Yarrowia lipolytica: one gene and its partners. Each later gene encodes a partner of the first gene's protein in a complex. Links are inferred from orthologs where the notes say so. Each region holds a gene or a part of one and is shown in the gene's direction. Other genes may lie near its edges.

What was found.
Region 2: YALI1_C25301g (region 1) and YALI1_C23548g share a complex: the UniProt entries of both Saccharomyces cerevisiae proteins name them as parts of the mitochondrial large ribosomal subunit. The link is inferred for Yarrowia lipolytica from reciprocal best matches to the Saccharomyces cerevisiae genes MRPL16 and MRPL28.
Region 3: YALI1_C25301g (region 1) and YALI1_C21634g share a complex: the UniProt entries of both Saccharomyces cerevisiae proteins name them as parts of the mitochondrial large ribosomal subunit. The link is inferred for Yarrowia lipolytica from reciprocal best matches to the Saccharomyces cerevisiae genes MRPL16 and MRPL39.
Region 4: YALI1_C25301g (region 1) and YALI1_F31744g share a complex: the UniProt entries of both Saccharomyces cerevisiae proteins name them as parts of the mitochondrial large ribosomal subunit. The link is inferred for Yarrowia lipolytica from reciprocal best matches to the Saccharomyces cerevisiae genes MRPL16 and IMG1.

The regions. Positions count from the first base shown.
Region 1 is NC_090772.1:2,528,865-2,531,953, reverse strand, and holds YALI1_C25301g (uncharacterized protein), read left to right. Parts: upstream 1-1,738; coding exon 1,739-1,791; intron 1,792-1,844; coding exon 1,845-2,577; downstream 2,578-3,089. Other genes in the region: YALI1_C25336g (uncharacterized protein), read left to right, coding at 1-128; YALI1_C25307g (uncharacterized protein), read right to left, coding at 316-1,239. UniProt on the Saccharomyces cerevisiae protein: Component of the mitochondrial ribosome (mitoribosome), a dedicated translation machinery responsible for the synthesis of mitochondrial genome-encoded proteins, including at least some of the essential transmembrane subunits of the mitochondrial respiratory chain.
Region 2 is NC_090772.1:2,353,910-2,356,801, reverse strand, and holds YALI1_C23548g (mitochondrial 54S ribosomal protein mL40), read left to right. Parts: upstream 1-1,947; coding exon 1,948-2,388; downstream 2,389-2,892. Other genes in the region: YALI1_C23563g (uncharacterized protein), read left to right, coding at 501-1,601. UniProt on the Saccharomyces cerevisiae protein: Component of the mitochondrial ribosome (mitoribosome), a dedicated translation machinery responsible for the synthesis of mitochondrial genome-encoded proteins, including at least some of the essential transmembrane subunits of the mitochondrial respiratory chain.
Region 3 is NC_090772.1:2,162,860-2,165,535, reverse strand, and holds YALI1_C21634g (mitochondrial 54S ribosomal protein bL33m), read left to right. Parts: upstream 1-1,718; coding exon 1,719-1,725; intron 1,726-1,775; coding exon 1,776-1,892; intron 1,893-2,073; coding exon 2,074-2,162; downstream 2,163-2,676. Other genes in the region: YALI1_C21639g (uncharacterized protein), read right to left, coding at 1-1,579; YALI1_C21626g (uncharacterized protein), read right to left, coding at 2,315-2,655. UniProt on the Saccharomyces cerevisiae protein: Component of the mitochondrial ribosome (mitoribosome), a dedicated translation machinery responsible for the synthesis of mitochondrial genome-encoded proteins, including at least some of the essential transmembrane subunits of the mitochondrial respiratory chain.
Region 4 is NC_090775.1:3,172,723-3,175,534, forward strand, and holds YALI1_F31744g (mitochondrial 54S ribosomal protein bL19m), read left to right. Parts: upstream 1-1,754; coding exon 1,755-2,300; downstream 2,301-2,812. Other genes in the region: YALI1_F31733g (uncharacterized protein), read left to right, coding at 628-1,383. UniProt on the Saccharomyces cerevisiae protein: Component of the mitochondrial ribosome (mitoribosome), a dedicated translation machinery responsible for the synthesis of mitochondrial genome-encoded proteins, including at least some of the essential transmembrane subunits of the mitochondrial respiratory chain.

The DNA.
Region 1 (3,089 bases):
CCGAGCAGATTGAGGAGGAGGAAGTGGCTCTCAAGGAAAAGGAAGCCAAGGCTGTTGGAATCCCTAAACATGTCGAAGATGTCGCGAAAATCCCTGGTGACGTTGAAGAAGTCGCAGACTATAAGTAGAAGTCGACTAGAATTGGCTAGTCCGTCCGTTGTGAGGGCACTTGTAAAAGTACAATTGTGTACGAATAAATTATACATGATTATCTTGTTGTAATCATTCCCCTGACCGCACCTCCATTATCCAATGAACCATTGCATACCTTTCCATTATCTATATACTCCACGCACTGTGCCACTCCCGTCAGTCTTACTCATACCACATTTTAATCAGCTCCTCAGAAACGCCACTTGGAGTGAGAACTCCCAGATCTGTGATAAGTGCAGTGATGTAATCGTGAGGCGTAAAGTCGACGACTGGCGACAGACCCTTGTCGGCATTCTGCTCCTCGGGCTCCTCAACAGTGAAGTGGAACATCTTTTTGGTGTCTGGCAGATCGGCCTGGGCCAGAGGGAAGATTCGCACAAACTTGTGACTCTCGGTGACCACGTAGAAGGGCTTATTTGCGTTCTTGGCTAGCACGGCAATCTGATATGATCCGACGTGGTTGATGACTCCTCCAGACTCCGCCACTCCCTCGGCACCACAAAACACCTTGGACACCTCGTCAATCACAGATCCGACGGCGTTGTCCACAATTAGACTCACGGGAATGCCTCTCTCCCTCAATGCCTTGGCCATTCGCTTACCCTGATCACTAGGAGCAGCCTCTGTGACAAACACTCTGAAACGCACCAAGTTCTTAGCAGCATGTTCCAGAAGGGCCAGTACCGTTCGCGAGAAAGAGTGGACCAGAATGACATCGTCATCCCGCACAAATGCTAGACCCTTTTCCGAAATGGTCTTTCGAGCAGCCTTACTTCGCTCGGCAAACAGCCTTCCGTTCTTTACCAAATGGCCCTTGCAGGCCTCCCAGTCGCCATATTCCCGGATATTTCGCAACACAAATCGCATAAACAGATCACAGCCTGCAGAAAGCGACATAGAGTTGTCCACAGACGTCTTGAGCTCCGCGCTCGCCTCCTTGAGAGTCTGAATCAGCTCGGCTGATGTGCTGGTTTCGGTCTCACTGAGCAGCTGGACCAGGGCCTCAATGGCCGCGACAGGCATGGTGATGTCGGGGTCGTCCCGCAGAAAGCGCAGATATGTCTCTTTGATGTCGAATTTGGCCATGCTGGATTACTTGTAGTGGTCGATTTGCTCTATGCTGCAATTTTTGGTTAGGTTGGGATTAATATTTTCAGAATCCTGAATCACGTGACGATATGAGATTGGCCCAGTTACCCGGCAGTTCGAACGTCGACGAATGTACTGATACGCTGAGTTAGAGAGGGGTTGGAAGGGCTTGTGGTGGTTGAGGGGTATATTAAGGTCACATGACTGTATGTTAAGCAAGTGCTCATGTTTTTTCCGGTCCCCATCCCCTGTCTGATGCCCTTGTGTGGTGTACTTGAGCAGTTGGGAGTTACTTAGCATGTTCAACTAAAGGCTAAGTACTGCATGTCCTGCTGTCGAATAAACTTCGTGCAGCTTACTCATCAGCCATCTGAACAAATACACGAGCTAATTTTTTCACAATCACCAAAATGCTGGCTCGACTGGTAAACGGACTACGGGGTGAGTAACGCTAGAAATGGGGAAGGAAGAGACTTGGAAGGCATTCAGCGAAGCCATGCAATCAGCAGATCGATTCTCAGCGACAATACGACCGTGCCAAACGACACGGTGAGAGTGAAAAATTTCGGATCGGAAGTTCACGAATGACTGCACAACTTAAGGAACCTAGGGAATAAGGAATCCCTGTCATTCCAACAGGTCTATCCGAGTCGACCACCCTCAATACCGTGCTCCTCTGACGGCCGTACTAACTCAGCTACCCGCCCTACTGTCGTGTCTCCTTTTGCTGTTCCCACTCTGGGCTCCATTCGACACAAGCACGAGTATGCACCTCGATTCAAGAACCTACGAAAGGCCCAGCGAGGCCGAATCACTGTCCGAACCGGAGGATCCACTCGAGGCTCCACGGTCGAGTTTGGCCAGTGGGGCCTGCGTCTTGTTTCTGAGGGTGTGCGGCTGTTTGACAAGCAGCTCAAGGCCGCTGACGGAGCCATTGCTCAGCTGATTCGAAAGGCCGCTCCCGGCTCTCAGCTCTACCGACGGTTTCTGCTCTCCACCCCCGTCACTCGAAAGGGTGTCAATATCCGAATGGGTAAGGGTAAGGGAGATATCGAGAACATGGCCACCCGATGGCCCACTGGAAAGGTGGTATTTGAGGTTGGAGGCCAGATGCACGACCAGGTTGTCAAGGAGGCCTTCAAGCGAGCTTCCAGGCGTCTGCCGGGCCGATGGGAGGTGATCAAGAAGGGCGATCTGCCTGTTGTTGGCTCCCAGGAGGTCCCCGAGGCCACCCCCCGAAACTACCTGCAGGAGATGTCCGAGAACCCCACCAAGCGGTTCCAGGCCCTGGAGGACTCCAAGAAGGAGGAGTTTGTCAAGTACCGACGACGATAAATGTATATAGTAACATATTTGATATTGAGAGTGTGAAATGTAGATGTGTGTAGAAGACTTGTATCAACAAACGCGCCAGTACAGTGACGAAACCTTGGTTCCAGTGAAGAGTTACGAATCGGAAGGGTGAGCAATCTCTGTTGTTTGCTAGACGTTGTAAAGTGCAAACCAAGGTGTTACTATGGGGTATATCGATATCTCAGTATATACCGGCACATACTGTACAATACTGTACTTGTGATGCCATTGCAAGCTGGATCATAGGTCGTATGACTCCTTTTTTACGACGTTGGACCTGTGTACTCGTGCGCTATATTCTCGGTACTGGATCCAAATTAGAGACCAAAGAGGTTGTTTGAGAGACATTATCTGCCAACTGAAACACGGTTTCTTCACAAACACGTACTATTCACCAGGATATATATTCTATTTCGTACTCAGCATCCTCACACTACCCAGCCAAGGTTTATGCGAGATATGCAATAACGTTCGAAAATTACGGACCTGAAAAA
Region 2 (2,892 bases), about 170 kb from region 1:
CATGCCAGAGGCACAGTCATCGTGAGTACACAATCGGAAAAGACACAAACGGGAGCTCGAGGTTGTGCGTGTAAAGCAGGTCAGAGCGTTCAGCAAGACCCCTTGGGGACTCCTGATTTGAACACAGGTTATGGACACGTCATTCAGGAGTCAGGGACGATTTGGTTAACCTTTGCTAGGTGAGAAGAGAATGGAAACGTGGAGGCCGAGACTGAGTCTCGCGAGCATGACGCCGTGTCATTTTGTGTGTCTGTCGACGCTCTTGGCCATTATATGCTCATTTGTGTCATCCTTGTGACACAGACTGAGTTGAACCGACCTCCGTTCTTGGTCCTGTGACTGGCTCTGGCTGTGAAGACAGGTTCTGAGGTTGTCTCTGTGCCACCGGCCAGGGTGTTCAGAACTAGTTGCTTCAAACCAAGCCATGTTCTCAACTAATCTCGCTGTCAGTGTGTCTGAGCTGCAACAATAAGCGGAAAAATGACCGGGATTCAGCTCAAATGTCGGTATGCTTCGATAGACAGCACCTCAGACTGTTACCCTTGGCGCCTCTGAACTATGCCACGGCCAGAACTGCTCCATGGGCTCTTTCCAACCTCCTAACACCCTGTAGGGTGTTGTCCACTCGTTACCCCGTACCTCCGACCACACTCATCACGGTTACTAACTCAGAAATCCAAGATATCGGCGATACGCCCTACCACTTGGTGGAGCCCATTCTCCGCAAGTTCAAGTGCCGCCAAATGCTCCACATTGAGTCCATCTCTCCACATATTGCACGCGACTCGGAACCAGTATGGAAGCACTTCATCGGTCGCGACTTTTCTGACCGCCCATTACCAAAAAAGAACTTCAAGGAAACATACCTGCGCTACCAGGAGGAAAAGGAGACTCGTTTGCGCGAGAGCAGTAATCGGCTCAAACGAAACATTGCACGTGAACAACAACGCAAGTCGGAAATCATGATCACCCAGTTGGACGTGGACCCGCGGGCTGAGTCTTCTCAGCGACGACAATACATTCAGCGAGCAAAGTCGTCTGTTGTGGGTCGATTGCGACTGGAAATGCGTTCCAAGGGCAGCATGTTTTCCCCCAGCAACCCCACATTTCTGGAAACGAACCGCAAGTCGTTTTTCGACCGCACAAACAGAAACCAACCACGTGACCCTACACGTGACCCCCAGCCCTCTGCGGGTCGTGATACCGTCCGTGTCAATGGAGGCTTCAATTCGGACCACCGCATTTCGTCCATTCCGGTTCCTGTTGAAGCCATGAGCACCACATCCTTGAAGCGACCTCTCAAACGGCCCACTCCCATGCCCAAAACAAACGCCATTGGACACTCGAGCGGCAGCGCCTCGCCTACCAAGGTGCAGCGGACAGATATGGGTATTTTCAGGCGTGGGCCTGGACCCGAGACTGCGCCAGTCGTCACTTCGACCACTCCACCACAATCTCCTCCCCCAATCAATCGGCACGTTTCCCCGCCTCTGCCACCCGCGCAAGCGCCTCCCCCGCCATCTGTACCACCACTAACCAGAGCTTCTCCTCCGCCTCGGCGACAGAAACCCAGCTCGATATTTATTACTAGAAAAAAGTAGATTATTTATTGTATTATACGAGTACGAGTGAGCGACAGCAAGCTCTGCTTACCAATCACAACCTAGTAATGTCTAGTACATACTGTACTGTATTAGTACGGGGACAGGTACAGGCTGTTTGAATGTCAGAATTCATGTTTGTATTGAGGAAGAATCGCGGAGTGACTGTTGCTGTATCTCTTTTCCTGGAACGACCTCCCTCGGAATCGAACCCCCAACAACTTCAATTTCAATTTTAAAAGTTGCCAGGTGCAAATCGAACTTACGGCCGCTGCATGTCCCCTTCTGCCAGCTGAAAAAATACCTGATCTGTGCAACACCACACCACACCACACACAAGACCACAATGTTTGGAACCGTGCGAACGACCTGTGTGGCTCGGCGGGTGCCCCAGCTGGCCCTGCGAACCAAGCGAACCAAGACGGCCAACGATCTGGACCCTGGAGCGCGAAAGCTCGTGAACCAGATGTCGGCCATGTCGCCCAAGCGAATGGCTCCCAAGAAGCTCGAGCTCAGCCAGGAGGATCTGATTCGACACCGAATCGTGCAGGTGGCGTGGCGAGAGGAGCGGCTGGCCGAAAAGCTGGCCCGAGAGCAGCAACACAGACAGCAGTATGAGATGCTGCAAGACACGTGCGAGGAACTGCGAAAGGTGGACGGATTCCTGTTCAACGCCGCCGTGCTGCGAGTCAAGGGCAACAAGTTCCCCATCGAAATGCGAGTGCCTACCGAGACTCCCCCCAACAAAATCTGGCAGTCTGAGTGGAAGGCCGAGGTGAAGAAGTAGTGGTGGACACCAACACAACAGGACGTTACACAACCCCACAGATGGTCCCACCACTAGGATAAAATGTACATAGCAAAAGGTATGATTGATTGATTGAGAGTGAGACACCAGTGCGGGAGTTTGAATGAGGCAGCTGGAGACCTAGGGCACTGGTGAGGGGCTGGAGACCTAGGACAGCGGTGAGGGTCATGGAGTTGCTTCTCAATGACGAAATGACTCCAAGCCTCGTACGAACAGCCCGTTATGCACAGGATTCGTATAGAGACAAGTCAGCTCCTGGTCACACATCATAACGAGTGCAAACGGAGGCATAGAAGATTGCAGTAGTAACCACGGCGCAAGTCCTTCTGTTATCGGTGTTACCCGCAGATCTGTAGAGTGGTACAGCTCTTAGAAGGAACGGAACTGAGAGTATTCTCGCAATGGAGTGCACATTCGTATCAAGAACCGCTCTATAGTACAACCGCGTCGCTACACTCCACGCGCCTCAATCATGACGTTAAC
Region 3 (2,676 bases), about 370 kb from region 1:
TGGCATCATTGTCGATACCACCTTCTTTTCGCGAGGAGTTGTTGAGAGAGGTTATATCGCGCCAAAGTTCCAGAAAAAAGACGTCCTCACCCCAAACTTGGAGGGTCTCTATCATGAACTTCGCACTTCCAAAAATTCTGCACACCCTCCAGATACCCTCTGATCCCCCCGTTTTCTGTTTATCAGCGGCTCCCACAAGAGCCCTCGACAATAGAGATATGTTCGATTCCAGAAGCAGATTTTGTTCATGCAGTTGCTCGTGATAAAGATCCAAAATTGTCGTCTGAATACCTATCAAGAACTTGAGTCTGTATGTGACACTAGCCAGACTTCTGTAGTGGTCAGTGACACCCTCCAGCAGATCTTTGACCATTAGCGCACTCTTCGTTGGTTTGGTCGCACCTCTTTCCACGCCATCAAAGTCAATTTCCCAAGCGTCGGGAAGCTGAATAATAGCGTGAAACCGCGAAACCGCAAAATTTCGTTCAACATTGAGCCAAATATCAAACCTCGAAGGCGTGAGAATAGACCCTGAAATTCCCACCCAGTTTCCTCTGTTGGGGCTGTAGAAATAACGCTCTTTAAGAGCGGTCTCAAACACTACTGTTTCGTAGAGGAGATGGGATAGCTCTGTAGATGTATCACGGAGAGCATCGAACAACACCGAGGCTTTGCGGATTGCCGATGGAATCAATGCACAGATGAACTCATTGAGAGCTACTTTGTCGCTGTCACCCAACAGAGGTTGCATGTGTTCCTGCAAGAAGTTTTCCTGCTCCTCAACAATGTCTAGAAAGTAAGAATAAAACCATTCAGGCTTGTCAGGTTGGTTCGTATCTTTGTTTCCTTCGAAATGGAACCGTAATCTGATATCATAAGGCGCAGTCAAAACCAAGAAAGCCTGCAGCGGCACCCCTTGGGGGTCAGCTGTCGACTGGGTTCTAAGAGAGCTGTCAAGGAATATCATTTCTTCTAGAGTCGATAGCAGCCGTTCTGATGGCTGAAACTCCTTTGAAGGGTACTGGCAGTTCACCAGCTCCTCTTCTGCCTCCTGCGAAAGTCTTTGAAGCTCAGTGTGCGCGGACCTCTGAAGCTTTTTCCTCCATTGCTTATGTAAAGCTTCCACCGCAGTAGGAACATCTCTGCGGTTCAATTCCAGATATTCTTGAATTGCGCTTTTGATCCTGGCACTTGAATCGGTTTCCGTTGAAGTGTTGTAGTTTTGTTGCAAAGACAGGAGGTTGCCGATGTGGTGTTCAGAGGATGCCAGGTTCTCGGCTTTCTTGATTGCAGTCTGTACATCCTTGTTGGTGTCGACCAGCTCATGCTTGCTGAGGTCTTCCAGTGCCGCAATGATTGATTTCTTGTCACCCTCTTCAACCGAGTCGTGGACTGCCTGTGCATGTTGTACAAGCAAACTGGAGGCTTCATTGTGTGCTTCAGTGATGTCAATGTTCAACCGCTCCTCCTTCTCCAGAAGCTCGGATTCAAGCTGGTCCAAAGACTCTAGATCGGCCAACGTAGCAAATTGCCCATCAAGAAACAACTTCCCAGATATCTTCCCAATATGACCGCTCATGTTCTGTGTTGGTGGTTTTGAGTTGTGTCCGTGATGACAAACAGGCCAATCTGGTATGTAACCTTAATCCCGCTTAAAATTATCACACGCATCTTGAACCACCACTTGAATTTGACATCAGATCAGAAGAGAACACAACATGGCTGGTAGGTATTGTTGGCGCCCACAGAAACCTCCCCCTGCTTTACTAACACAGTACGAAGCAAGAACACTGTCATCAAACTCTTTTCTTCGGCGAAAACCGGTGTCATGCGAACCGTTTTCCGACCTCGTGTGGCTCGTCCCATCACTCAAGTGAAGTATGACCCTATAGGTGAGTTACTGGAAAGATGAGGCTGTCGAGGGCTGAGACCCGTTGCAGTGGATGAGGTGATCGCAGTGGTGTCGCGATGCAGCATCGGCTAGTGGGTGTGGCACTGGACGCTCGATTTCTCGTGATCGTCTCCATGAGATCGTGGTCCCAGAGAGCTGACCACGCCAGTTTACTAACTCAGTTAAACGAATGGTTCTTTTCGAGGAGACGAAGACCCGACGAGGAGCCGTTGAGCCTCGAGGCAAGGAGCCTAAGAAGTCCGATGACTAAGCCATGATTTGTACATAGTTAATTATAGATGTGAAGAGGTAGGATGCTTGTATTTCGTTGTACTGTGACTGGGTCGTAGTTTGGTGACCATGCCCTCTGCGTGATAGGTTAGGGATGTGTGGCTGTACGGTGTTTGCTCTCCATTCCATGTGCTATTGTGCAAATGGGTTCGCGTGAATGCTCACACTCCTGATGAATACAGGGGCGACTGGTCGATTCTTTTTGTCTACCTCAACTCCTTCGAGTTTCACTAGAGCGTCCTCACCATCGATCATTTTCCCAAACACAGTGTAATTGCCATCCAGACTCAAGTGCTTGTCGTAAGTTATAAAGAACTGGCTTCCATTTGTGTTGGGGCCGGAGTTGACCATGGAGAGTATGCCTCTGGAGTTGTGTCGCAGCGTCGGCTTGATTTCGTCTTCAAATTTGCCGCCCCAAATCGACTCCCCGCCTTTGCCTGTACCTGTGGGATCACCCATCTGTACCATGAATGCTTGCGTTAGTCACTCTCTCA
Region 4 (2,812 bases), on another chromosome or scaffold:
AGTTTTCTCAAACTTTGCATATTGGACCTAAATTTTGATGAGAGTCACGTGTCATGCACGGTACAGTAGTGATAATCTATGGAGTCAAGAAAGTGCAATAAATGAGGAATCTGTTGTATAGAAAATTCTCGGACACAAATGATCGAACGAAAACATTGGATCGATTAGGATATCTGTGCTGTTATACTACCCTTGGCGTTTTGAATAGCGTGCGTGTTGTTTCACACACAGAGATATCTGTACATACGGCGGTTCTATGGAAGCCAGGAGCACTTCCAAAAGTGGAGAACATTTTGTACAATCTATCATGTATGCTTCGATGTCATACAGTACCATCCCCAGGAACCCTACTCCTTCGCTGCTGGCATCTGCTTGTCAATAAATAATCTCTTTATAAATAATTGTTAACGGGTAGAGGCCCAGAGAGTCTTTATCGGCTCATATAGACTCGGTGTCGGACTCAGACTCACTTTCGGATTCGCTGAAGTCCATACCAAAGAAATCTCCACCCTTGGCCTTCACATTCGAGCTGGAAGATCCTGCAGAAGATGACAAGGCAGTATCAATTTCGGATACAGCCAGAGCAGCCATCTCCGCGTCCTTTCGCATCTTCTGAACGGCATCTTCATGGTCTTCCAGCAGTCGTGTGTTTTCAAACTTGCTCTTTCGACTGGACCCACTGGTCTTTTCCTTCTGCAGAATGTTGAGCAGCTTCTGTTTCTTCTCTTCGGCCTCCTTCTTCTTGATCTCGTCGGCTGTGCTGAGGTACTCTCCAAGCTCCTTGGCCTGCCGGATACTCTTCATTCGGCGGCCGTCCAGCGTTCGAAAAGAGTCGTTCTCCGTCTCCGTCTTCTTTCTATTCTTCTTTCGGGCCATACGTCCTCCCTGGGCTCGCAGCATGGACCCGAAACCACCCTTTCCACCGCAAAGACGCATATTCCAGCGCAAGTAGATGTCACCAGCTGCAGCAGACAGGCTCTCAAGACTCTGGCCTCCTCTGGTGCTGAGATATCCCTTGGCTGTGGCGTTAGGGGGCAGTTCTTTGAGAGCGCTTTCGATAGCGACGTGGACATCATCATCAGCCAAAACGTGTTTCTGGATATCTCTCAGACCACTGGGGGTGGAGATGAATATAGTGGGCATGTCGGTGGTGGTGGCGAGGCGAGGGTTTTGTGTACCGTGGTGTTGTGCTCTGGATGGATGTTGGTGATACAAATTATATTATGGTTCAGATTATGGTGCATGGTACGAGTGAGGAAAAACTCGACCAAGCACTACATTACTTGTATGTATGTACCGATCCAGAATAAGCACTTTGGACTGGATGAGACTGAATTAGAGCGGTTGGTAACTGGTTGTGAGAAAATAATATGGGTAGAATAACAGCACCAAGACGCCATCTTCACAAAAACATTCTCGGTATCAATTTGTTTGTCACGATCTTCTCTTCTGTACCGTCTTGAGAGCCCTAAACTGTAGAAAAACAAGAAAACATTACAAAACGATTCAACAAAGGCAAACTCATTGTAGAAAGACGAAAATTACTACAGTATTCGAGCCATATGGTAGAGGAACACCACGGACGCATCGGCTCATTCATTCTTATAGCCCCTCTCCCTTTGTTTTCTCATCGTCTCGGACTCATCTTCCCAGCATTACAAACCGCAAACCCTAACCGCGACTGAAAATTTAACCAAAATAGGCCCTAGAGCACACCAACAGTCAGTATACAGCATCACCACACTTGCACAAAAATGCTGGCTCGACTGATCCGTCCATCGCTGGCAGCGGTGCGTCTGCCCGTGATGCAGATGGCCACATTCAAGACCATCAAGCGAGAGCCAAAGACCGTCAACATCTACGAGCGACACCCCCGACGTCTGGGTACCGAGAACGCTCTTACACACGTCACTGACAAGCTGATGAAGCAGTTTGATCCCCAGGGCGTCAAGATGGAGCTGATGAACCCCAAATCCGCTGACCGAATCAAGCCCGGAGACATTGTGCAGATCAAGACCACTGATGGCTCTCTGTTCACGGGCCTCACCATGGTGGTGGACTTCCGAGGACTGTCCTCTAACCTGCTGCTGCGATCTAAGATCACCAAGATCGGAATCGACCGACGATTCAAGATCTTCTCTCCAACCGTCGAGTCTGTCAAGATTATCCGACGGGCCACCCAGAAGTACACCGCCGAGCGTCTGTACTACATCCGAGGCCACAAGCGTCTGGATGTTGGCGATCTCGAGGCCTCCGTCAAGAAGGCAGCCGCCAAGCGAAAGAAGTTCCTCTTCAAGTAAATGTATATAGTGAATGGAAGGATATGGAAGGAGAGCTGAGAGTAGGAATGATGGAGGGCTGGATCACTACATGTGCTTGTATGTGACATGCCAACATGGGCAGCTTGCGAGCAGCTGTGTCACAACTCCAGTGTTCCAATATTCGAGCATGGTCACATTCAGTTCCTTACAGTGTCAGGCGGCTTCTGAATCAATGCCAAATACACAAGTGCGGCCATGTGAGATCATTTGTTCCCCTTTGCTCTAAATTACAGTAGCTTATACAGTGGAACATCTCATCTCTCGAGGTTTATCTCCTTTTTCCAATAAACAGTATCAACTAAACTGTCCCATTAGTTAAGACTCAACATGAACACTATCTATCCACCAATATTGTTTTAAATTTGCTTAAAAGCTGATACATCTGACAATATCACCAAATGAAACAATAAACACTCCTCCGATCCTCCCTCGGTCCCTCAATTCTCCGCCTTCAACACTGGCCATATCGTTAACGACTCAAGTCTGAAAGT